4 linked regions of the Arabidopsis thaliana genome follow. The protein of the gene in region 1 interacts with the protein of each later gene in a pairwise test. Each region holds a gene or a part of one and is shown on either strand. Other genes may lie near its edges.

Region 1 (6,505 bases):
AGTGCTGTTTGAAGGTCCATGGATTCTTCTTAGGATCAATGAACGTTTCTCTTTAGGTCCAATATTCGTCTGCGGCTCTTACTGTCTTACACCTTCTCTTAGGAGTTAACATTTTGTTCTGCTCAGGAGGGGAAACCGACAATGGTTGGAGGAGAGACAGAGGCGTTGACTAGACTAAAGAGCTTTGCCGCGGATTGTCAGGCTCGGTTGAGCAAGGGAAACCAGAAAGGAGGCAACAACAGTGTCTTTGGTGCAAACTTCTCTTGCAAGATATCACCTTGGTTAGCCATGGGAAGCATCTCTCCTCGTTCCATGTTCGATGAGCTGAAGAAAACAATCTCCGCATCAACCACCTCCACAACTCCAAGGTAATGTCTCAGAAACGCAAAACACTTCAGGAAACTCTGGTGAACATAGTAAGTGTATGTGTCTAATTATCATTCTTTGAAATGATTTTCTCAGGAACGGACCGGGAGATACAGGACTCAACTGGTTAATGTATGAGTTGCTATGGAGGGATTTCTTCAGGTGAGCTCTTACTTTCTTAACTTGCCCCCTAGTAGAAATGTAGAATTTGTATTTTGTCTGATTCTCTCTTTGATGTGTGTTTAAACTTGGAACAGGTTTATAACCAAGAAATACAGCTCAGCGAAGACGCAGGTCGAGGCTGGTCCGGCTACAGCCTGTACCGGTGCCTTTGCTTAAACATTTGAAAACTTTCAGGTGACCGGAAAAGTTAGAAGCGACCTGTTTCTTTGCCCTACTCTGGTGTATGGTGGATTAATTTGCTATCCGGACAGGACTTTACTGCTCTCTTTTGAAACTTGAGTGTCAGGAGAATAAAATCTAAGCTTCTTTTTTTGGCTCAATCAAGTTGTCCGTTCCCTGTTCTAAACATTTCGGATACTCATTCCATAAAAAGTCTCTACAATTTGAGACGCTCTCCTTTGTGGTTAAGACTTGAGAATGTATCTTAGAAAATAACCGAAGTAGTTGTGTCTATGAATATTAAATTCAGGAATATTAAGATGTCACTAATATCAGAAGCAAGCAGCAACTAGAATATGCACTTCGTGGTAAATGGGCATTAGAAATTCTACAACACTTATTAAAGAACCGTACTAAACACTAGTTACTTGGATGAAAGTTACATATAAAAGTTTATATTAATCGACTAAGATTATTTGCTTGACTTTAGAGAAAGTTTGCATATATGTACCACAAATTGGTAACACTGCAAATAAAAAAACAAAAAAAACTGCAGGATAATGAAAATGTACTCCATATATGCACCTCCTAACTAGAGATGAAGCCTCCAAAATCATAGTCAATATGATTTATATTTGCAACACATATTTAGCCAACTGCCTTTGAACTTTGATAATTATATAAAACCCCCTTAACAAGTAAGAAAAACAAAAACTGAGACATGTGCAAGTAAGCTAAGACTTTTTCTTCTACTCATGGGGTTTTTCCTTTTGTTGCTTCTTCTATATGACGCCTGAAACTTTCAAAGAAGAAAGAACAACGAAGACGACCCAAAGCATCATGAAATAGGCAGAAGTAAGCCAAGCCCATAGCCTTGGACCTCCAAGCTCAGCTCCTATAATCAACCTTCTCAACACAAGCACCACGATACATCCCACTGATGTCGCAAAGAATATCAGAAGCGAAAAGCTTAATCCTTTAGCGTTTTCTATGTATAAAGGCTCTCTGTATGCAAAGTAGTTGTAGACTGTGTTTATCAGCCACGGAACTCCAATCCCCACATAGATGTTCACCGAGTTACTGCATAATTTATCACCAAAAAGATCATGAAAAGATCTTCAATGTTTGTAAAGGGTTTTGAGATTTTTACCTGCAGGTGATGTTTGCAATAGCTGAATCTGCGGTTAGTTGTCGCTCTGCAGCGATTTTACTTGCTACTAAGTCTGGCCATGAAGTTCCACTTGCGAGTGCTGTGAATGCTATCACATATGGGTTTATTCCTGCAAGATGAAAAGAGTTTCTAATGTTTTAGAGCTCAAATGTTTAATCTTATAACTTCAGTTTTTGAAAGCGGTGAGGGTGTGTACCAGTGACACAGCTTATAAGGTCAGTAAATCTTGTGACAACAAAGGCTACTCCACTGATGAAGAGGAGAGAGCAGATGAAAGCGATCCAACCGTGAGCAATGTTGCAGGGGGGCACAAATGCAAAAAGCAGTTTCCAAGGGGCGAGGAGTAAATGCCAGAAAGATTTCGCGATTCGAAGATAAATGCTATCCACTTTCTTTGATTCTGATGTTTCCAACTGTTTGATTACGAATAGGAAGAGAAACAAGTTAAGAAAGATGTGTTGATAATGATCAAAAGCCCAAAATAGGATATAGAAGAATCTAGAAAACACTTGGTAAGTTGAAGATTTTTACCGTTATTGCATCCACGAATTGATGTTTCCAAATGTCAAAAACAGTAGAATTCTTCGCCTTACCCTTCTTAGTCGCAGAATCGGGTGGAGTATCTGCCACAGTATGATAAGTGATCCCTGCAAAAGTGTTTGTTACAGGGAAAGTTTGATTTATAACAATATACTACCAGAGATAAATATGGGAATCACATAGATTTGGAAATAAGCAAATACGCTAAAACTGATCTTATATCAATAGAATAGACAGCCTAATCATACTTAGTACCTGTATCATTGTTAGCTGAATGAATAGAGAAGATATCAACAATGTTTCTGCTTCCCGATTCAACAGCATCTTGAGCAGCATCCGAATACACATCATGAACATCATTGTCATTGTCATCTTTGGATGTATCAATCTCCTCTGGAACCCACTCCTCTGGCCTATCACCTCTTGACCTGCAAGTATCAAATACAAACACAAAGATACAATCTTTAGTAGAAATCCATTTTGAAGGAACTAATATTATTGTCTGGAAAAGAAACCCACATTGGTAAAGACAAGTAAGGCCATCGCTTGTCTTGGGCGTACGCATGAACTAGAAGCAATCCGTATTGCAGTACTGTCAATAATGCCTCCACAAGTGTAATTACGTTTGGTGACCACACCTGTGAGACGTGAAAAGAAACAGATTTTTAGACCTTATCAGTATAGAGTATAGACTCAACAGAATCTGTTTAAACCGCTTTTCACAGTTACCTCGAGGATTATGTATAGCCAGATGTAAGCCCAAAAAGACCATACGAGCTCAACTAGCCAAACACCTAAGTCGGATATCTTTTTCAGTTCTCCAGCTTTTGGCACAACGACACAAACAGCGTGGATGGGGAAAAGATCAAATGCAGCTGAGCCAACAAGTGTTCCAGGACCAAGACCTATATGACAAAACATGATATAAGAATTCATGAACTTAAAAGTAAAAACTAGAGTTTTGGAAGGAAGAAAGGAACAACCACCAGACCTCCAGCATACCGCTCCCCCATATTCCGTATTGCATCGATGGTAGCCAAAGAAATCTGAGGGAAGCTAGTTCCAAACGCCAACAAACTGATGTCTGCAATAGTAAAGTTCCAAACTTTCTTGTATGTGATGACTTCAGCTTTAGTAATGGGATCAATTGTAACCACTTTACGGGAATGTTTCACGACATTCTCCATAGACTTGAAGAACCGTGCAGTGATGGCTGACAACCCAATAAAGCAGTAGGCAAGACCGAGAAAATATAACACACCCCTCAAACCATCTGACAAAGTGTTTTCTCCGGGGAATAGAAAGAAGTTTTCACATCTTAAATGCCCAAGAACCTTAGAAGATTCTTGCAACTCCTGGGTTTGATTAAGAATTGAGGCCATTGTAACTTATTCAAACCCCACCTCCTAATAAGTCAACTGAACACTTGTCCTCACTGGGGAAAAGAATCTGGCACACCAAAAAGAAGCTTACAACTTTTAGAAGAAACTGATGAAACCTGTAGCCTGATCGATCGAACAGTATCAAGAGGATGCGAAACAAACGGAACATGCAAAAAGATTTCTTTCCAGAGAATCTGTAACACAAACTAAACATTGCAAAGGATCCAATGGCATGTAACCGAAATCCAATCTATAACCAATGCTAATAACAATTGCATGTTCCACTGTATGCGTAATCAAAATCCAGAGGTAACCAGATCAAAAGATTATAACTTTCATCATGGGTTCAGTAAAACAAGTTGGGTTCTTTTCACAAAACCATAATTTTCAACGAACAAATCTCAACAAAAATAGCTAAAAAATAAGAAAAGAACAGATGAAACAGAGTGAGCCACGCGACGAAATTGATCAATGCGGACGTACCGGAGAATATCTCGGTGAGCGGCATTCACAATACGCCGATCACGGGAGAGATTTTCCGACAAACGGAAATCGAGAGGAGCTGATTGGAATCGGTCAAGCGTTGGATATTGCGGTGGAGACTTGGGAGCCATTTATACACATCTCTCTAATCTCTGCATGACACACTTCAATTATTGTATCGAAACGAGGATTCAAGCGTACATCGACCGACACGTGATCTTATCTAATTGGATGATTTACTTGACTAACTAGGATTAATTAATCTCGCCTTTCTTTGGTAAGGTTTAAGAATATGAGACCTCAATTGCAAGTTTTTTTTATATCTTTTTACTCCCTGAATTTTGTTTCATTTCATCCTTATAAGCATTAGATTTTAATTTCAACCTGAGTAATATTAGTTTTATCATCTCCTCGAGTTTAGATATTATCATAAACATATATCTTACTAAAAACCTGACCTGACTAATTTATTTTCTTTATAAAAGATAAACATGATAAATATGAAGTGTGAACGCATTATCAAATCAGAATTAGTGGATATATATGTATTTTGTTTTTTTCTGATTAAAAAAATTATTGAGATATATACAATTGAACTATGAGGACAAAAAATATATATATATATATATATCTTATTATATAAAGTATGGTTTTCAAAATTGACTTGGCACAGTGTCAAGTCAAACGATTAGATGTTTACATGTGTCATTCAAAATTTAACTTTTTTATTCTTTAAAAAAATAGAAAATCTTAAAAAGTAAACAAATTTACATATACTAATTTATATGTCTATATATTTATAAACAATTAACATTTATTCAACAAAAGCAAAATTAACAAATTTGTCTTTAACTCATGTAATCATAAGTGAAAATAGAACACTTTGAGAAAAATAGCTTAGCTTATAGGATTTAACTTTTCAATTATTTTCATTTATTAATTTTAACTCATTTAATATTAATTTGCATGATGTAAAATTAACTTACGAGATTACGTGGGTGATTGGTTTGTCTGTAACTGTAGATTTACTGCTGTAGAATTTTTGTTGTAGGTGTGATGACTGTAGCTGTAAGTTTTATTGCTGTAGAAATTAGACTGTAGGTTTTATTAATATAATTATTACTTAAAGAAATTGGGTAGAAATAAGATTTTGGTTGTATGTATTTTTAAACAAAAAAATATTATCGGGTCGGGTTCGGTTTGGGTTCGGGTTCGGGTTCGAGTTATTTATATATTGAAATATCAAATTTTGTGTGCAAATCTATTAAATTACTTGAAATTTTCAAAAATTCCCAAAACAACATGAGTAGTTTTGCTTGAATATATCTAAAAATACACAAAAATAACTAAAATATCCAAAAAAATTCTAATATTTTCTATATATAAGTATAAATATAACTAATATATACTTATATTTGAGATATGTTTGCATACCTATTCGGGTTTGGGTTTGAGTTTTTCGGGTTTTAAAGTTTATATCCGTTCGAGTATTTGAAAATTTCGGGTACACCCGCCTAAATAGGCGGACCTTATCTAGTATATATATACATTTGAACTATATTGTTTACTTTTTAGTTGATTTAGGCTATGTATGACATTGACATAAATCTACCTGTTATTTATCACGTGTAATTCGTGTAAAGTGTAAACTAGAAAGTTCAAATACGTATTTGTTTTTGTTCTGTTATATAGGATTGTCATAGTTGTAAATCTACAATTTATTACAACATGAATAAGTACACAAGCAATGTAATTGGATTTAATTGCTAAACTCTTTACATGGTCAATCTAAATTTGATAAGAAATACGTCACATATTACTAAGACTGATAGTTTTTTTGTTGTCACCAATTATTTTTGTTAAATTGACGAAAACAATTCCAAAAACTCAAATGTACAAAATCATACAGTCTCACAAACATCTCATAGAGAAAGATATAAATCTCCCATATGGGAACGATAACACGAGGTCGAAATACTATTCGTAAAACTAAAACGCCTTAGTTATAAATCGTTAGTTGTAACCGCGGTCGAGAATACATACAGATCCACGAAACTACTACTACACATGCTGCTGAATTGGAATTTGGAAAAGACCATCTTCTTTAGGAAGAGCTCACCCAATGAGTGACAAAGGTGTCGGTGGCTTGTTTTCTACCCATATGTATACATCAAATGGTAGTTTCATTAACGTTTGGTTTTGAGAAAAGTAAGACTTTGGC
Region 2 (3,974 bases), on another chromosome or scaffold:
ACAAGACGCGTATTACAAGGCTGGTAAAAAAATATACGAACCAGCACTACAAGACTGCGCCAGGATAAGGATCAACAGCGCAAAGCCACGATGGAAGACGGAGATGATGCCAACCCCACGAATCATGAGTGATACTGTCATCCTCCCTAACGGAGACATCCTTCTAGTCAACGGAGCTAAACGTGGTTGTTCAGGCTGGGGATATGGTAAAGACCCTGCCTTTGCTCCCCTCTTGTACAAGCCCCATGCTGCACGTGGCAAGCGTTTCAGACAGCTCAAGCCCACCACCATCCCACGTATGTACCACTCCAGCGCCATCATTCTTCCAGACGGTAAGGTTCTTGTCGGTGGCAGCAACACCAACGACGGTTACAAGTACAACGTTGAGTTCCCAACGGAGCTTCGCGTTGAGAAATTCTCCCCACCTTACCTCGACCCGGCTCTAGCCAACATAAGGCCAAAGATCGTCACCACCGGCACCCCAAAACAGGTCAAATACGGACAATTCTTCAACGTGAAGGTCGACCTTAAAGAAAAGGGAGCAACCAAGGGAAATCTCAAGGTTACCATGTTAGCCCCTGCCTTCACAACACACAGTATCTCAATGAACATGAGGATGCTCATCTTGGGTGTCAATAATGTCAAACCTGCTGGTGCCGGTTACGATATCCAGGCCGTTGCACCACCAAATGGAAACATCGCTCCACCGGGTTACTATCTTATCTTTGCCATCTACAAAGGTGTTCCCAGCACTGGAGAATGGATTCAGGTCGTCTAATGACGATAATTTTTACCCATTTTGTCTTATGACCGTAACATCTTAATATAAAACAATCACATAATATCAGTTTTTTTTTCCTTCTATATATATTGTTTATGCCACCATTAATGGATCCAAATTACTTGTGTTTTCTTTCACTTCTATAAACTTTTCCGTTCATGTAAACCTTTTCGGTGAGTTTTTATGACTAAATTTTGTATTGGAGAAATTCTTTTATTATTACTTTTGGCTCTATTCTTTCTTCACTAGTTCGGTTTTGCGTATAAATCATTCGATGCGTTCATTGCAAGTCACTGTTTGTTTCATTGACTAGTAATGTTAATTACCTTCGATAATATTGCAGAGAGTTAGCTAAAATTCTCAAAAGATGGTACACAAATAGTTCTTTCGCAAAATAGATCTCACAGAAACAGAGTCACGGTTTTACAAAATTCGAATTTCACAGAACACAAAGCCAAATTCCAAATACAATAAAGCTCGTACCTAACAAAGCAAGTCCGATTTGAGTTTCTTCCCCTAAAAGGATCCCAAAAGCGGCGGTTGCGGCAAAGGTTGTGGCGTTAGTCACCGGAACGGCAAGAGAGATGGGAGCGTGACTGAGAAGGGCGAAGAATGTGGCGGAGGCGGAGAGGTTTATGAGGAAAGGAATTGAGTATTGCCAGAAGAGGAGGAGATTGATCCAGTCGCGGAGAGCAATCATGATTTTGCGGCGGATCTGAAGAGGAGGAGAATGAGATTCTGTTGTCGAAGAAGACTTTGTTTTATCCCAGGCAAGAGCGCCACGACGGATCAGAGCATTGGTGGCTCCCCATACGAGCCCTACCGCCACCATCTTATCCATGTCTTCCTTCATCGCCGGTGGCTGATCCCGATTTGCCTTTTCCGTTGTTCTGTGTTTTAACCACTAAATGTTGAGTAAAGGAGATCAAAAAGAAGAATTATTTGGATATCCAGAACCGACCCGAACCCGAAAGGTACCGAACTAAACCCGATCCGAAAAATTTAAAAATCCAAATAACGGACCCGAATACCTGAATAGTCCGGATGGTAAACACAGATCAATGGTATTATCACAAACCACTAAATTACATGTCGTCATCAAATAATGTTTCATTACAATACTACTACACTACTAGTCATTATCAATGAGCTTCAAAATCCATTAGGAAACAATGTTGTAGATTAGACGTTACAATACAAAACACCAAAGAACAAAAATACCAAAATATTGTTACACACTGAATCACACTTCCTTCTTAGAAAAAACAACAGGAAGCAATAGTCAAAACAAGCAACAATCATGATCAAACACCAAGTCTCATGTCCAAATCCTAAAACCAATGCCTGCATTGTTATATATGTACATTCTCACACACTTTAACCTTCTTCTATTCTCTCTCTCTCACTCTCTTTGTGTTTTTCTTCTTCTATGCCCTGTTCTATTACCTTCTCTTTTCACTATCAGTGTCTGTCACTAGGGCTTCTCATGTTCTCTAACTTTGCTAGATATGAAAATTTCTTCGGTAGAGCTCTTGGAGACTTCATCATGGGCTTCTCCTTCTCCTGCTCAACTTTGTGGAAGAATTCTATATCACTCATTGAACTATGCTTCTTAGTATCAGATGACAATCTCCACCCTATGAAGTCTGATAGTTTCCTCGAGTTTGGTGTTTCCGCTGCAACCACCTTTTCAGTTTCCTCGTATTCTGATTCTGCCTCGCTTTCTGATCTTGTCTCTGCCTCTCCCATCAACTGTCTTTGAACTAGCCGATCGGCTTCAAGAACATCCTCTATTCTTGACATTATCTTTGAAGCAAGACTCTCTAGTACCCTTGAATAGCTCTCCAAAATCGCCTGTCCAACATCCTGTAAGATCAAATCACAACAAACTCTTACTCAGTCTCACTACATTTTTGTTGATGTTTGTTTAGTCTTTGTTATGTTATGTTACCTTGTTGTTTTTAATCTTGGAGACTTCAAGGGAGGATTGTGGGATCCCAGGAAATTGTTGTTTGAGCATAACCAAAATGGTCTCAGCTCGGACTTCGAAAAGCTCCCTCTTCTCTAAGCTAACAGTGGATCCCCACTGAGATTTCCCGTCTTTCTCTTTCTGGCACATCTTCCTCTTCCAGATCACCATGGAAGCTTCAATCCTGTTCTTTAGATCAAGTACTTTGTGTTCCGTTGACAAATCCAAGAAAGAGACAAAGTAGTCAGGATCAAAGCTCTCCTCTGTTATGCTCTTGTAAAGAAAATCTCCCAAGCTTGTCTTCCCATTCTACATAACCAACAGCCTCATCAGCTTCCTAGCTTAGTGGAAATTGTAAAGAAACAGAACACTTTTGAAGAAGAAGTAAGTAACCTTTGGAAGGGAATCAATGTAGTTTTCAGGAACGTGCATTTCAGACAATACATGAGCATTGATGGCCGTGGCGGCTTTAAGGACTTGAGCCACAGAATCTTTCTGATTCTGCAACCATCTACGTGATTCCTCAGACAAGCCATCTGTTGGAACCTTAACAACTGGTAACCACCAGTTCTCATCCCTCCTCCAATCTCCATTGTGATCTGCATCCTCCATATCTCTTGGCACATACCAAAAGTCTTTCTGATCCTTGAAGTTGTCCAAAGTTTCCTGCCAAATGAGTAATTGCATTAGTATGATAAATGGTCACAACTCATCTATTTTTGTTTGTTATATATATATATCATGATCATTTTATAATACATGCACTCCTATATGAAATTAATTAATGAGATGGTACTCTTGGTGTTATGACGTTTTCAGTTATATTTATCTTTATAATTTGCAAAGATGACTATGACTTGTAGTATATATAGTAGTTTGTCCTAGTGTCATGGATATTGTTGCAAACAAAATATTTTTGAAACGATGTGGTGTTTGATATAATATAATGGTTTAATTTTTCCCAAACGTTGAAACCGCGGTTGAAACAATCAAGTAGTAATTAAACTCACGAGAAGAACCGAGTCAAGTTTGCGTAAAGCTGGAATGTTCGTCAGCAAATCATCTCTTTGTTTTGTAACCATGATCTACAAAGGAGAAAATTAGGGTTAATAAGAAAAATCGTCACTAGTAGACTAGTAGTTGTTATATATGTACGTAATTAATGACTAACAGTTGCATGCATTCACCTCAGTGAATTGGCCATTTTTACCCATTTGTCTAGAA
Region 3 (6,646 bases), on another chromosome or scaffold:
CACAATTTCAGAAAAAAATAACAACTTTAACAATCAATCAAGTAAAGAGAATTCATACCATATTTTGAGACGCTTCTTCTTCTCAGATTCAGCACCAATCTTCGCTTTTCTCTTCCCATTCTTGAAAGATTCATTCAAAGCCAAATCAACAGCCAAAATACACTTATCAGATTCTTCCTTATACTTATTAACATACTTCTGCGTAGCTCCATTTCCAACACCTTGTTTCACTTTATTGGATTGCTTCTTCAGATACTCAAGAGCCTTTTTCTCAAGGTTCCTCCCTTCTTCACCATCCTTCCACTCCTGAAGCCTATTCTCTGCGTTTACATGCCTCAATCTCCGTCCACTCATATCCCTACAAGCATCGAAGTTGTTCGTCTTCTTCTGCCCAGCTTTCATACCCCCACCACGAAGTAACGATCCGAATCCTCCTTTACCTCCACGGAGTGAAAGGACAAGATTCACGGTGGCGTCAGGCTGAGAAATCGCGGATCCATCGGAGATTTGGTATCCTCCGCTTATCAATCTCTGTAGATGCGTCGGGATCTTCGTTTGCTCGAAGATCCGCTGCTTGATCTGCTCGCCATAAGCTAACGGAGAGGAGAAACTTAGGGTTAATGATTTTCCGTCGAGTAGTCTCACGAAAAACTGCAACGGCTTAGAACTCTGATCCGCCATCGATTTTCGATTCAAAAGCTTGGACGAAGAAGAAGAAGTTCGATTTCTAGAGAGGAATCAGAGAGAAATTGGGGAAATTTGACGGAGCCCTAATAATAAGTCTCTCTCTCTCTCGCTGCTTGTTGGGCTAAGATTATTATCTTATCCACACTTTTGGGTTTATGACTGGGCTTTATATTGTCTGAATCTATGTCGGTCAGGAGAAATCGATTTTTTTTGTACAATTTGACCAAACTAATATCTATATATGATATGGTAAATGATGTATTATTAAGTAAAAATTATCTACAATTGAATCTTATAATAAATATATATATATGGAAAAATTACTCTTAGATAAAATAACATGATAAATTGTATGTTATTGGTTAAACATGTTATTTGTTTTTTTTTGGTCAAAACACACACATGAAAAAACAATTTTTAAATAAATTTGTTATATTTACTCCAAAGCTTTTAAAACTAAAAAAAAAATTAAGGTTACCTAAAGTTATCAAATTCATATATATAACCATGTTTTATTTTTATAAAGGTATCTTCAATAGTGATCTCTATATTTTCCTTTATTTATAGATATGACTCTATTTTAGAGGCTGCTCCAATGGTCACATGTAAAATAGAATTTTCTTTAAAATAGAGGAGATATCATCTCTATAAATAAAGATCTCTACATTTAGTCTCTATTTTTTTCCTATTTTTGAGGAAACTCTATTTTAAAAGTGACCATTGGAGCATCGTGCCTATAAAATAGGGTCACTAAATTTTTGTAATTAGTTTAAGCTTTAATGTCGTTGACACAATATTATATACAAGTGGTAAGTGGACATGTGTAAGAGATATTTTAAGGGTTTCGGAGACTGAAATCAGGCTCGGAGGGTTTAGGAGGTAGCAAAGGTAGGTTGTTTGTACGCAGATTGCGAAGCGCGTTTGAAGCAAACCGCGACGCGTATAACGTTGCAACCAGGCTAGACGAAGACGCCGCATTGCGTTCGCGTTTTGTGATCGCGTTTCGGAATCGATCTTCTTCTTCGGTTAATGATCTAGCTAGTTTCCTCCGGCAATGTCTCCGCCACGCCGCTTGTATGAAAGACGCACCCCAAGTTCTCCATTGAACCGAATAAAACCTGACAGTTAAACCGAATTAAACCAAACAGAACCGGAGATTGGAGAAGCAGAGAGATCAGTCAAAAGAGACCAAACAAACCTGAAAGTATGTTGAAGCTGTTTGCTATGTAGTCGTCTGAACTGTGAAGCAACAAGCTTGAGATCATCTGCTGCAAGAGCAAAGGCTTCTACTTCGGTTAAAGCTTGAACTGTTCTAGTCGATATCGGAAAATGAGACGAAGATTGAGGATCTAATGCCCATGTGAGAAGATCTTCGCCGCAAAAGTCACTAGGTTTTAGGTATACGGCGTTAAAGAAGCCGGTCCGGCCACCGTTTGTGGTGGCGCTCATCAGTTTTCCTCTCATGACAAACAACATCTCTTCCACTGGATCTCCTTCTCGAATTGCATAGCTGTTCTCGGTGTAGAGCACTGGTTTTAGCTTGTCACACACGGCATCTAGCAATTGCTCATCCATTATCTCGAACAGAGGTACCTATATATATTTGATTCGATCAATGATTATTTGAATGAAATGTCAAATTTGAGGATCAAAGAGATAAGGTGGAACTAGAAGCACTTACTTTCTTGAGAAGATCGAGGCAGAAATGGCGTTTGATGTCTCTCCTGAGGTCTTTAGGGAGATTACGCAGAAGGTTTTCTTCTTCTACTCCTCTAGTTTCCTGCCATTTGTACTGCTCATACCTTCTGATACGTTTCCTCAAGTCATCGGGTAACATTCGATGAGACATCCATTGCTCTGCATCTCTTTTTCTCACTCTCATCTCCTCTTCCCTCACTGTAGTTGATTCCAAGTATTTCTGTTATGGAAAGTGGAAACATCAGTAGTGTTTTATCTTCCTTGGGGATCAAGTAAGTGATGGAAAAAAGGCAGTGAAATGAATATATACCTGCATATTGCCGATAAGTAGTGCGAATAAGACTAGTCCAGATATACAAATTGATACAGCAAATATGATTTCCCCAACGAATTTGCTTGTATTGAGATTTTGTCCCAATGCACTGCAGCGAGTGAGAAACAGCAAGTGATCAGATTAGTGTTTCATGCTCAACATATCTTAGCCAGCCATCAAGTGTGTCACATGAATCCTAAATTACTAATAACTAGATAGAGAGAGTGTTACAAACCTTAAATTACGCAAACCCCACCAGAAGCAGTAGAAGAACTTCTTCCAGAAATCATCTGATTCAACAATCCCACTCTTTAAAGCATCAGTAAAGATACCAAAGTTGAAGACAGTTGAATTTGTTATATCATCAGGGTTGATAAACGGGCACGAGGTAGTCAGGAAATCGTTTCTAACACTACTGTTTCCATCGCAGTAGAGAAATCTAAAGTTACACACTTCTGGTATCTTCTCACAAGCTTCACGCCAGCATCTGTCTTCTCGTTCTACTGATATTAAGTACCATAAGGCTCCAAACACATGACTGGCTAACATATAGAGAGATAGGTTCCAAGCAGCTCCAGCCCAAGCGGTTTCAGTAACTATGCCAGATGTTCTTGTAACTTCAGTGTAAAGTGGATAGATACGAAGAATCCTTGGAATGTATTGAGTAAATATGACAGTTATCAAATAGTCCTTAGTGATCAAAGAGACCGGCTTGTTGACATTGGGGATGACAGCTAAGACTACAAGCTGCAGCAGATACAACAGAATATTAAAGAACCATCAAGAAGGAACTATAAAACCATTAGGAACTAAAGGTTACCTGTGGGAGTGGAAGGATAGAAAGAAGATCGATGATGAAGTAGGAGGAGAGGTACTTGATGGCTATAGCTTTAGGATCATCAACCAACTCGCCTCTTCCGAAAACACGAGAAGAAGGAGAGATATAAGCAGTTCTAAACTGAAACACAATGTGAATGATGTAGAAAGCATCTATAAACGTGCGAAGCACACTAGCTGCTATCTCCAAGTTACGATGCAAATTAAGACAGTGTCTTTCTCCATCAACAATAGGAATATAGAAAAACAATGGATCAATAGCCAAAGCAATCACTGAAGCAAAAAGAAAGATTTTGTTCCAGTTCTGTAAAAAAGATCCTTGTGGGTTTATAATATTCTTCTGTGTAGTGGTACTAGAATTAGAATCTCTCTTCTTATTATGTGAACCAAAACTTAAAGGTTTCTTAAGTCCTCTACGAACATTCTTCAAAACTGTGTTTAGAGATGGTCTAGCTTTATTTCTTCCGTAACCATACTCTGTTCCCTCTGAAATCCAATCTCTGAACCTAAACAAAAAATCATCAACAAAAAAGAATATTTTTTCTGAGAATCATTCATATCCATAGTTTCTCAGTAAATTCATTCTAAAAAAAAAAAAAGACAGAGATTAAAGAAAGCAAGCAAACAACAACCTTACACGATTGTTGCGGCCAAAAGCCATGAGTCAAGCTTTTTTTGCTATAACGGATCCTGAATCATAAGAACATCGATTTGATCGCTTTAATTCGTTATCCCCAAGTTTACAGTAACAGAAAAAAAAAAAAAAGAAGAAGAAGAAGAAACGGAAACTAAGAAATTAAAACATTTATATCCGAAACTGACCAGAACGTTGAAGTAACTGAGAGAAGCGATATAAGAAAGATTATAGTAAGAATTTTCCGATGATCTGAAATTGGGAAAATTCTCGAAATTAATTCTCTGAAGTTTTTTTTTGAAGCAGTCAAATAAGCTATCATCGTAGAGTCAAGCTTGGCATGGCGCTGGAAAATGGAGACTCCATTGGCAGTTTCTTCGAAATTGTGTGCATTTTACAATAAAAGACAAAAGAGAGGGAATTATTAAAGAGTCAAAAACATTTGATGGGCCTAACCTTAATTAAAAGCCCAATTCGATATTGAATTTGATTTTAAAATTCAGAACTTGTTATATATCAGACCAACACAGTAAACATCATAGATTCCAGTAATGCATCAGCTATAAACAGATCCTAGCAGTGTGAAATAGTAAATATGCTACGATTTAAAGGTTTGGATCCAAAGAATTTTACCAACTTCATAGCAGATTGTTCACACTCTACACTCAATAAGCCAAATGTAAACAAAAAGATGACCAAAGATCTTCACAAATCTACCATGAATCACAAAATCTATGAAGACAATGTGATTTAAAGCAAAGATCTTACAGTTTTTATGGGCTCTTAGTTAAATTTTGAGATAGTAAATTTTCATATAGGCCCAACCGCCCAAGTGAGCAATCTTGCAGGACTTTTGTGTTGTTTATGGCTTTTGTCTTGTCTGACTCATGAAATCTTGTTTTTTTTTGTAGATAAAAGAACGATAAATGACGCTTTTAAAACTTTTTAAAGACGAGAGTTCTAATAAAATTAGGAAATAATAATATATGATGTTGACAAAAAATGTAGAAAAATATATGAAATTTTTATTGGCACGAAAAATTTGTAGCGAACCGCATCATATCATCACTTATATAAGCAATATTTTTTGAAAATAACTCATTTGAATATCATTAATTAAGCAGATGAGAAAAAATGATATGAGGTTATTGAAATTTTTAACCAAATTGTTTTTTATATAAAACATGTAACACTTTCTGTTTGTTTTTTCTTTTATATAATTTTGTTAACACCTTTCTATATTTTCTGCTTTCAATATTTTCTATTTTCTTTTATTTTGAAATAGTATTTTTTTTTGTAGGGATTTGAAAATAGTTTTTTTTTTGTAGGGATTTTAAAATAGTTTTTGAAACTACTAACTAATTATTAATAAAATTCAATGCTTTGAATAAAATCTAAATGGTATACAAATATTAAACTTTACAAGAATATGAGTTAACTATTTAATACCTTTAAGATTTCATATTTACTTTTGATGATATGTACATTTTAATACGTATATGGCAATATCATTGGTAGATACACTATTTCTAACTTAAATTTTAAAATGTGGTAAAAACATAAAATTGAAATACTAAGAAATGTTACTTTAACACTTTTATCCTCAAATTTGGATTTCTGGATGTTTCTATAGGTCGAACCAATAATTAAAGAATTGATAGTAACAAAATGGGTTTTAATATTGATTAGAAGAAAATTAAATTAGGTTAAAGAAAAAGGAAAGAGTAGACGAAAAGTTAAATAAATTTTAATAGGGTTTTAATATTGATTGATATAACTCTCTGACTCTTCTGTGACTCTTTTCAACTTCTGACTCTTTCTCTTTCGCTCTCTCATTCTTAACAAGAAAAAAAACTGGCATCATCTCATCATGAGGAACTCTTTTCCTCCTTCAGACGGTGGGAGATCGACGACTGATCGTCGTCAGCAGTCGTTTCCCTCATCCTCAACGAACCGTTATAACTCTCGCTCTGCACAATCTTCTCCGCCGCTCAACCACTGTACTACTTGGAACCAGCAACACTCTCAGTACCATAACACTAATTTCCCGCCAAATTACAGACGTGATCGTGCTCCGTCGTCGGGATTCTCTCCTCCAGTCACGCGGGCTAGGCCTAATTTCATCGTTCAGCTGCTTCACCCCGCCGCCGCTAACAGTGACACAAAGCTGTCTAAGAAGCAAGAGATCGAGAGTATCGCTTTGCTTTGCGAAATTCCGGAGGAATCAGTTCACGTGCCTCAATTTGGTTGTATCGCTGCAAGCTTCAGTTTTCGTCAGTGGGTCGATGCGCGTTCTGCCGTTGTGGCTCTTTGGGATTATCGTCTTCAAGGGAGACATGATTTTGTTCCTGAGCTGATTCCTAATGTTGTTGTTCCGTCTGACATGGACGAGCTTAAAGACAGGCTTCGTGATCTTTTCTCGTCTCATGTTCTTTCGCTTATGGAAAATGGACAAGGGGTCAAGAAGGTGAGAATGG
Region 4 (6,171 bases), on another chromosome or scaffold:
GCAACGTTATAAGTAAAAACTACCCTCTTTGATTCTAATGTTAAACTTTAGGTATATATCCCCTGCACAACATCAAAGAGGAATCATTCCAGATTCACACCAAAGAACAATTAACAAAAAATCCAAACACTTATCTCCCCAAGAATACAAAAGTCAAATTAGGTCAGTCAAGACAAAGGAATATGACTCTTTACCTTCCGTATCTGCTAAAGAGACGCTCAAGGTCTCTGGTACGAGTTCTAGATGATAAGCGACCAACATAGAGGCGAGTGTTTCCATAGCGATCATCATAGCGAGGCATTGTCAAGCTGCAAAATATTTTTAACATAAGCTATTAGGCACATATGTATATATATATATATATATGCCAATCACAAGAAAAAGAATAACAGTATCCTCTTCAAATTATATAAACAAGAAAAAGACCAGAGAGTTAAAACACTACCTCAGACCTAAACATAGAACCCATGTGAATATCTATGATTTTTCAGCAGAACACAAATCCAAAAACAAAGAAACCAAACTGAATAACACATTCAGAGGCGAAAAGAAGAAAATTTCGTGAGGGGAGAATATAAATCTCTAATCAGATTAGACAGAAGGAAACCTATAAAGGAAATCTACGGCGAGGAAACGAGAAACCAATTGAAATCCCTAATCTAGAGAGCGAAGAACAATAAAATCGTAACCCTAAACAGATCCAATTACAAAGATTCTTCCTCGTACCTGGAGAGACGAAGAAGGAGAGTGCAAATACGCAGTAACCCTAATAATTTCGAAACGAAGGAAGTGAACCGCGGATGATACTGCGATTAGTCTTCAACCCCTATCTTATAACTTGGAAACCGACGAGATTCAACGGTAGCGATTTGTTTCAATCAACGGTTTAGATTTCACGGCGAGATAAACGTCGATATTACCGATATAGAAAATAGAAAATTGCACACTTTCCAATTTAGTACTTTTATTGGGCCTTATATCAACTCTAAAGCCCATTAAAGATTTAGCAAACATATGCAATTTCGTATTAATCATAAGTATTAAGTACATCATAATCATTGGTCAAGTTACTCTAATAATTTTCTGTTTTGTAAATCAGCGACGCTTGTTCTTGCTTCCGATCAAGAGTGTGAAGTAGAAGAGAACCCTAAAGAAGAATCCCCAAGCTACAGTGATCCACAAGCAATTCCATTTGCTTATCTCCGTGATTCCTTGCTGTTTCAGTATATCGATTCCCGTCGTTACGCAAGTCTCCGCCGTCACGTTGATCCCCAAAACGCCGCTCATGCTCTTCAGGAGGCTGATTTTCACGGCGGTTGGAACTTGTCCCAGCGGCGAATTGTCGAACATCTGGATCCCTCTGACGAAGCATTTCGTCGGATCTTCGAATTCGTTCTGTAGAACACCTTCGTAAGGGTATTTCACTAGGGAGAGGTAATGGAACCAGATCCAGTAGAGTGGGATTCGATCTCTAGAGATGAAGAATCCGGAGAAGAGGAGGAAATAAGCGAGGATTGCTACAACCACCGTGAATCCGATCATCACGTGTGAGACTACGCCGGATAAGAACGTCACGAAGGAACTTCCGGCCCAAAACGCGGTGAGGATTGTGAAGAAGAAGAAGAGGAATCCCTCGGAGCCTCCGGCGAGTCCTACGGCCGAGAATGTTGAGGCGGCGAATGCGGCGGATAAGATTATGAGAGCAGGGATGGAGATTATTGTGTGAGCGAGGACGTATGATGATCGCCGGTAAGCGTTGTAAGCTGTTTCTCTCATGAATATGTAACGTTCCTGTAGAAAGACTGGTATTGCTTCTGCACATGTGTAGAATGTTGTGGACATTGCGAATGCGAAGAACCCTAAGCGTTCTTGTATACCTCTTGGTGAATTGTCTAGTTTCCAGAATATTGTGGCTAGGATCATTCCGGTGACTAGTACAGCTCCTAGGCGGATTCCGAATAGCTCTGGTTGTCTTCTTGAGTTTAGTATAGATCGTTTACCAATTACGAGCATTTCAGTCCAGAATGGGTTTGCAAAGGTTTGAAATGATGATCTTAGGTTTGTTGCTCCGGAGACAAGCTTACCTCTCGAGATACTTGCGCTGATTGCATCTTTGAGAGATACATTGGTGTTTCTTCTGCTCTGGCTTGAGGTTTGCTTTGCTCGCCATTGCTTGTGGAACTCGACTAAGGATTTCGTTCCTTCTGGCGAATCTTCCAGCTCACGGATAAGATCGAGTGCAAACTCCGGCTTGTTCTCGTTTTCAGGAATTGGGTGACCGAATTCTGAGAAGAACTGAGGGAGGTGTGTCGGGGAGCCGCTGTAAACGGTGTTTCCCCTAGATAGGAAGATTAACTTATCGAGTAATCCCAAGATTCTGTAACTCGGCTGATGGATGGACATGATAACTATGCTGCCGCTTTGTGCGATTCTCTGAAGCACTTTGACAACCATGTATGCACTGGTAGAGTCAAGACCAGAAGTTGGCTCATCGAGAAAGAGAATAATCGGGTCATGGATTATATCGGTTCCAATTGAGACCCTTCTCCTTTCTCCTCCAGACACACCTCTGTGTCCCTCATCACCGATCACGGTTTTTGCTGCGTTCCTCAGGCCGAGCTGATCAATCAGAGCTTGAACCCGTGCCTTCTTTTTCTTCTTAGAAAGCGAGCTTGGAAGCCTGAACTCAGCAGAAAACATCAACGTCTCTTCCACGGTGAGCATCGGGAAGAGAAGATCATCTTGCATCACATAAGCTGATATGACTTTATGCAGGCTAGATTCAAGAACTTCCCCATTTAAAGTAATATCACCGCGTAGGCTCTCTTTTGAAATCCGATTGGCTAATGCATCGATAAGCGTTGATTTCCCTGACCCGCTCGCTCCAAGAACAGCCATCATCTCTCCTTCCCGGGCTTCACCAGAAATACCATTCAGGAGCACCTTAGTATTCATCTCCATATCATTACCATCAAAAGGTGAATTCCCACAACAAGGAAAGGGCTTAAACTTCTTCTTGATCTTCACGCTGTAAGTCAAGTCTTTGAAGGAAAGAACAAACGGAGAAGAAGAAGGCACACGAGAAGACGGAACCGAGGACCAGAAATTGGACGCAACCGCAATATCCATAGCCCGACTCTGGTCATCCCCCTCATCTTCCACACTCATGAGAAGTTCTGCAAGTGTGACAGACACCCGCGCAGTGTCTCTGTGACATCTCTGAAGCTCCACTGACTTGTGGATATTGTAAAACAGAGGGAGGCCATCGCCATTGACCCGTTTGGCCGGAGATAATATACCGAACAAACCAGACATCACGTGAATTATTGTCTGGTTAATGTTTTGGCCTCAGGTAATGTGTCTAAAGGTCTTACCCACAGAACAATTTTGATCGACTTTATAGGATATTTGGATGGGAGAATGAGGGAGAAACTTGTCAATTAGTTTGGTGATCTCTAAGTATCTAACTTTGAGTTGTTCTGGGTTTTGTAGCTTTTCATATTTACATGTACATAGCTTTTGTTTATATTTTCGTATGTATATAAATTGTAAGTTACGAGTAGGTGAGGAGTTGGGCAAATCCATCCACATTTTTCCGTTATTGTATGTATTTTTTCTTGGGGCTTAAGGTACTCTGTAAAAAAATCCTATTTTAGGTGGTTTTTGTTTACAAAGTGGAAAAGTTTACTCCATGGAATTACGTGTTTATTTCATCTGTATATAATGTATCCGGAGTTTATGGAATTGCAATAAGTATAGCTTATGTAACATGTCAGGAATAGAATTTCTCCTTGCACATGTATGTATGTCACGAATTTCTTAATCTCCTTTTGTTTATTATAGTCACGACCCGCGAGTTTTCTATAATCACTTACAAGCTCTAAGACTTGTTTTTTGGTGCGTGAGACAATAATTGACTAGGGGTTAATTGGATTTCCAACTATTTTGAATCAGTGAATATCTTCGTACAGTAACTAAAGCACGCTACGAATATACTGTTTGTTGTATCAAAATCAAATCATCCAACATTTTGAACATTTATTTAGCGGTTACTAATTAACTTTTGCAATTAGTTAATATCAAACACATAAGATATTCTCATAATTAGGATTTGGCATGGTACTATACTAAGATTGTACAAAGGCATGCCATTATGCATAATGAAGCTAATGGCGTGTTATCTTTCAATTGTTTGTTTAATCATGCACACCATTTTCGTCATATAAAAAAGCGTAAGTGAAGCCTATTTCATTTCAAAAAAAAAAAAAAAAAATTATAAGGATCATTGATTTGTACTTTTGTAGTTGGTGAAACAAAAAGGAAATGAATGTGAAAATTATGGCAGAAAAACGTGCAGATGTTCGGCTTTGATGTTGTAGAGCTACACACGAAAACACAACAAAAATTGTCATTAGGAATATGTAATGGAAACTTTATATAACGTGATGAGTTAGATTTAGGCATATGGAAGTTTGGTGTAGCTGTTATATCTGTTTTCTTGATTATTTTACTTTTGATAACCCATTTTTACAAGAGTTGTCAAGAAATAATAGAAAACTATATACTTAGTATCATCAGCTTGTCTCTATCAAGTTGAACTAATGATTTATCCAATGAAATACATAACATTTCTTATGGAATGTACACTTTCACACAGAGAATGAGTTTATATTATTCTGGTTAAGTTTAGTAAGACTTTCTTTATGTAAAGATTGTTTTGAAATTTTGTGTTTGGTAGAGGATATTTTGCTAAGTTTCCCAACATAATTTTGTTAACACTTTGAGATTTATCAGGTAGGACTAGATCAAGGAATTGAATCCCTCAGGTTTGAGATTTCGTTCAATGCTAATATTTGTTAAATCGTACGAGAAATTTTTACTCTCGTCTGTTGAGTAACAGCATGAGAGAGTTTTCATTCAAAAAAAAAAAAAATAGCATAAGAGCATATCTCTAGGCATAACATTTTGTGGGCTATTAAGGGGCCAAACTTGGGCATCCAATTGTTAAAAGCCCATATTTTGTAAGCCTCGAGGAGTTTTTTTTGTTTGTTTCCACATTTGCCTAAAGTTTTGTATATGTTCATTGAATAATATACAAATCAAACGCAAATCACATTAATGATCCCCTCAAGAATATATATATAAAAAATTGCATATATTATTAAACAATTAGTGAAATTACTTAATTAGATTATCTGATAATCACATATAGATTTTAGAAGCGAAACATATATATTTGCTCTATAACTAAAACAAAATAAAAATAAAAAAGAGAGCGAAGGATTGCATCAAGTAATCGCCGTGTAACTAACTACTTTTGCATTCACCATCGCTCTTACGTTTGAATCTATCCAGATCCAAAGCTCTTCTTCTTCCCGGCAATTCTGAGATCTCATTTTCACCGGCGACGAGCTTTAATCGGAGAACGATGAAGCAGCTTCACAAGCAAATGAGCTCGAAGCGTGATGAAGAAACCATTCCCATGAGCCAATCCAGTCCTTACTCTCCCAAAACTTTAAAGCATCCCAGATCTCTTCCCAGATCGCTTCACTATCTCTTTCGTGAACAACGACTCCTCTTTATCCTCGTCGGGATCTTGATCGGATCCACTTTCTTCATCCTCCAGCCTTCTCTCTCTCGTTTAGGCGCCGCTGAGTCCACCTCGTTAATCACCAGATCTGTTTCCTACGCCGTCACCGATTCCCCGCCTTCCAGGTCGACTTTTAATTCCGGAGGCGGCGGAGGTAGAACCGGTCGTGTTCCCGTCGGTATCGGACGGAAGAGACTGAGGATTGTTGTCACCGGTGGAGCTGGTTTCGTCGGTAGTCATCTTGTTGATAAGCTTATCGGTAGGGGAGATGAAGTGATCGTGATTGATAACTTCTTCACTGGTAGGAAGGAGAATTTGGTTCATCTATTCTCGAATCCTAGGTTTGAGCTAATTCGACACGATGTTGTTGAGCCAATCCTCCTTGAGGTCGATCAGATTTACCATTTAGCTTGTCCAGCTTCACCTGTTCATTACAAGTATAATCCAGTCAAGACTATCATATCCTTTTGATTACGGGTCGTGATTTGCAAGTTCTGATTCTAAATCCGTTATACAAATTTAGGCAACATTAGGTTGGTGATCATTGTTATTAGCATCCTGTTGATAGGCATTTGACAATT

What was found.
Region 2: the proteins of MHX (region 1) and AT5G19570 interact in a protein complementation assay, tested with the Arabidopsis thaliana proteins (one large-scale study listed by BioGRID).
Region 3: the proteins of MHX (region 1) and CNGC13 interact in a protein complementation assay, tested with the Arabidopsis thaliana proteins (one large-scale study listed by BioGRID).
Region 4: the proteins of MHX (region 1) and ABCG20 interact in a protein complementation assay, tested with the Arabidopsis thaliana proteins (one large-scale study listed by BioGRID).

Annotation. Positions count from the first base shown.
Region 1 is NC_003071.7:19,523,028-19,529,532, forward strand, and holds MHX (magnesium/proton exchanger), read right to left. Parts: upstream 4,554-6,505; 5' UTR 4,285-4,553; intron 3,869-4,284; 5' UTR 3,802-3,868; coding exon 3,411-3,801; intron 3,325-3,410; coding exon 3,149-3,324; intron 3,058-3,148; coding exon 2,939-3,057; intron 2,848-2,938; coding exon 2,675-2,847; intron 2,527-2,674; coding exon 2,411-2,526; intron 2,293-2,410; coding exon 2,076-2,292; intron 1,989-2,075; coding exon 1,859-1,988; intron 1,789-1,858; coding exon 1,491-1,788; 3' UTR 1,090-1,490; downstream 1-1,089. Other genes in the region: PHR2 (photolyase/blue-light receptor 2), read left to right, coding at 127-368, 463-528, 624-705.
Region 2 is NC_003076.8:6,604,399-6,608,372, reverse strand, and holds AT5G19570 (uncharacterized protein), read right to left. Parts: upstream 1,810-3,974; 5' UTR 1,635-1,809; coding exon 1,221-1,634; 3' UTR 1,052-1,220; downstream 1-1,051. Other genes in the region: AT5G19580 (glyoxal oxidase-related protein), read left to right, coding at 1-778; ROPGEF10 (ROP uanine nucleotide exchange factor 10), read right to left, coding at 2,243-2,647, 2,733-3,059, 3,144-3,416, 3,761-3,835, 3,938-3,974.
Region 3 is NC_003075.7:433,047-439,692, forward strand, and holds CNGC13 (cyclic nucleotide-gated channel 13), read right to left. Parts: upstream 4,546-6,646; 5' UTR 4,358-4,545; exon of another isoform or gene 4,226-4,357; 5' UTR 4,197-4,225; coding exon 4,168-4,196; intron 4,042-4,167; coding exon 3,519-4,041; intron 3,446-3,518; coding exon 2,934-3,445; intron 2,808-2,933; coding exon 2,696-2,807; intron 2,606-2,695; coding exon 2,369-2,605; intron 2,281-2,368; coding exon 1,886-2,280; intron 1,806-1,885; coding exon 1,523-1,805; 3' UTR 1,171-1,522; downstream 1-1,170. Other genes in the region: AT4G01000 (Ubiquitin-like superfamily protein), read right to left, coding at 59-681; AT4G01020 (helicase domain-containing protein / IBR domain-containing protein / zinc finger protein-like protein), read left to right, coding at 6,040-6,646. UniProt on the Arabidopsis thaliana protein: Putative cyclic nucleotide-gated ion channel.
Region 4 is NC_003074.8:19,836,207-19,842,377, forward strand, and holds ABCG20 (ABC-2 type transporter family protein), read right to left. Parts: upstream 3,778-6,171; 5' UTR 3,316-3,777; coding exon 1,096-3,315; 3' UTR 942-1,095; downstream 1-941. Other genes in the region: RS2Z32 (RNA-binding (RRM/RBD/RNP motifs) family protein with retrovirus zinc finger-like domain-containing protein), read right to left, coding at 195-301; UXS1 (UDP-glucuronic acid decarboxylase 1), read left to right, coding at 5,429-6,037.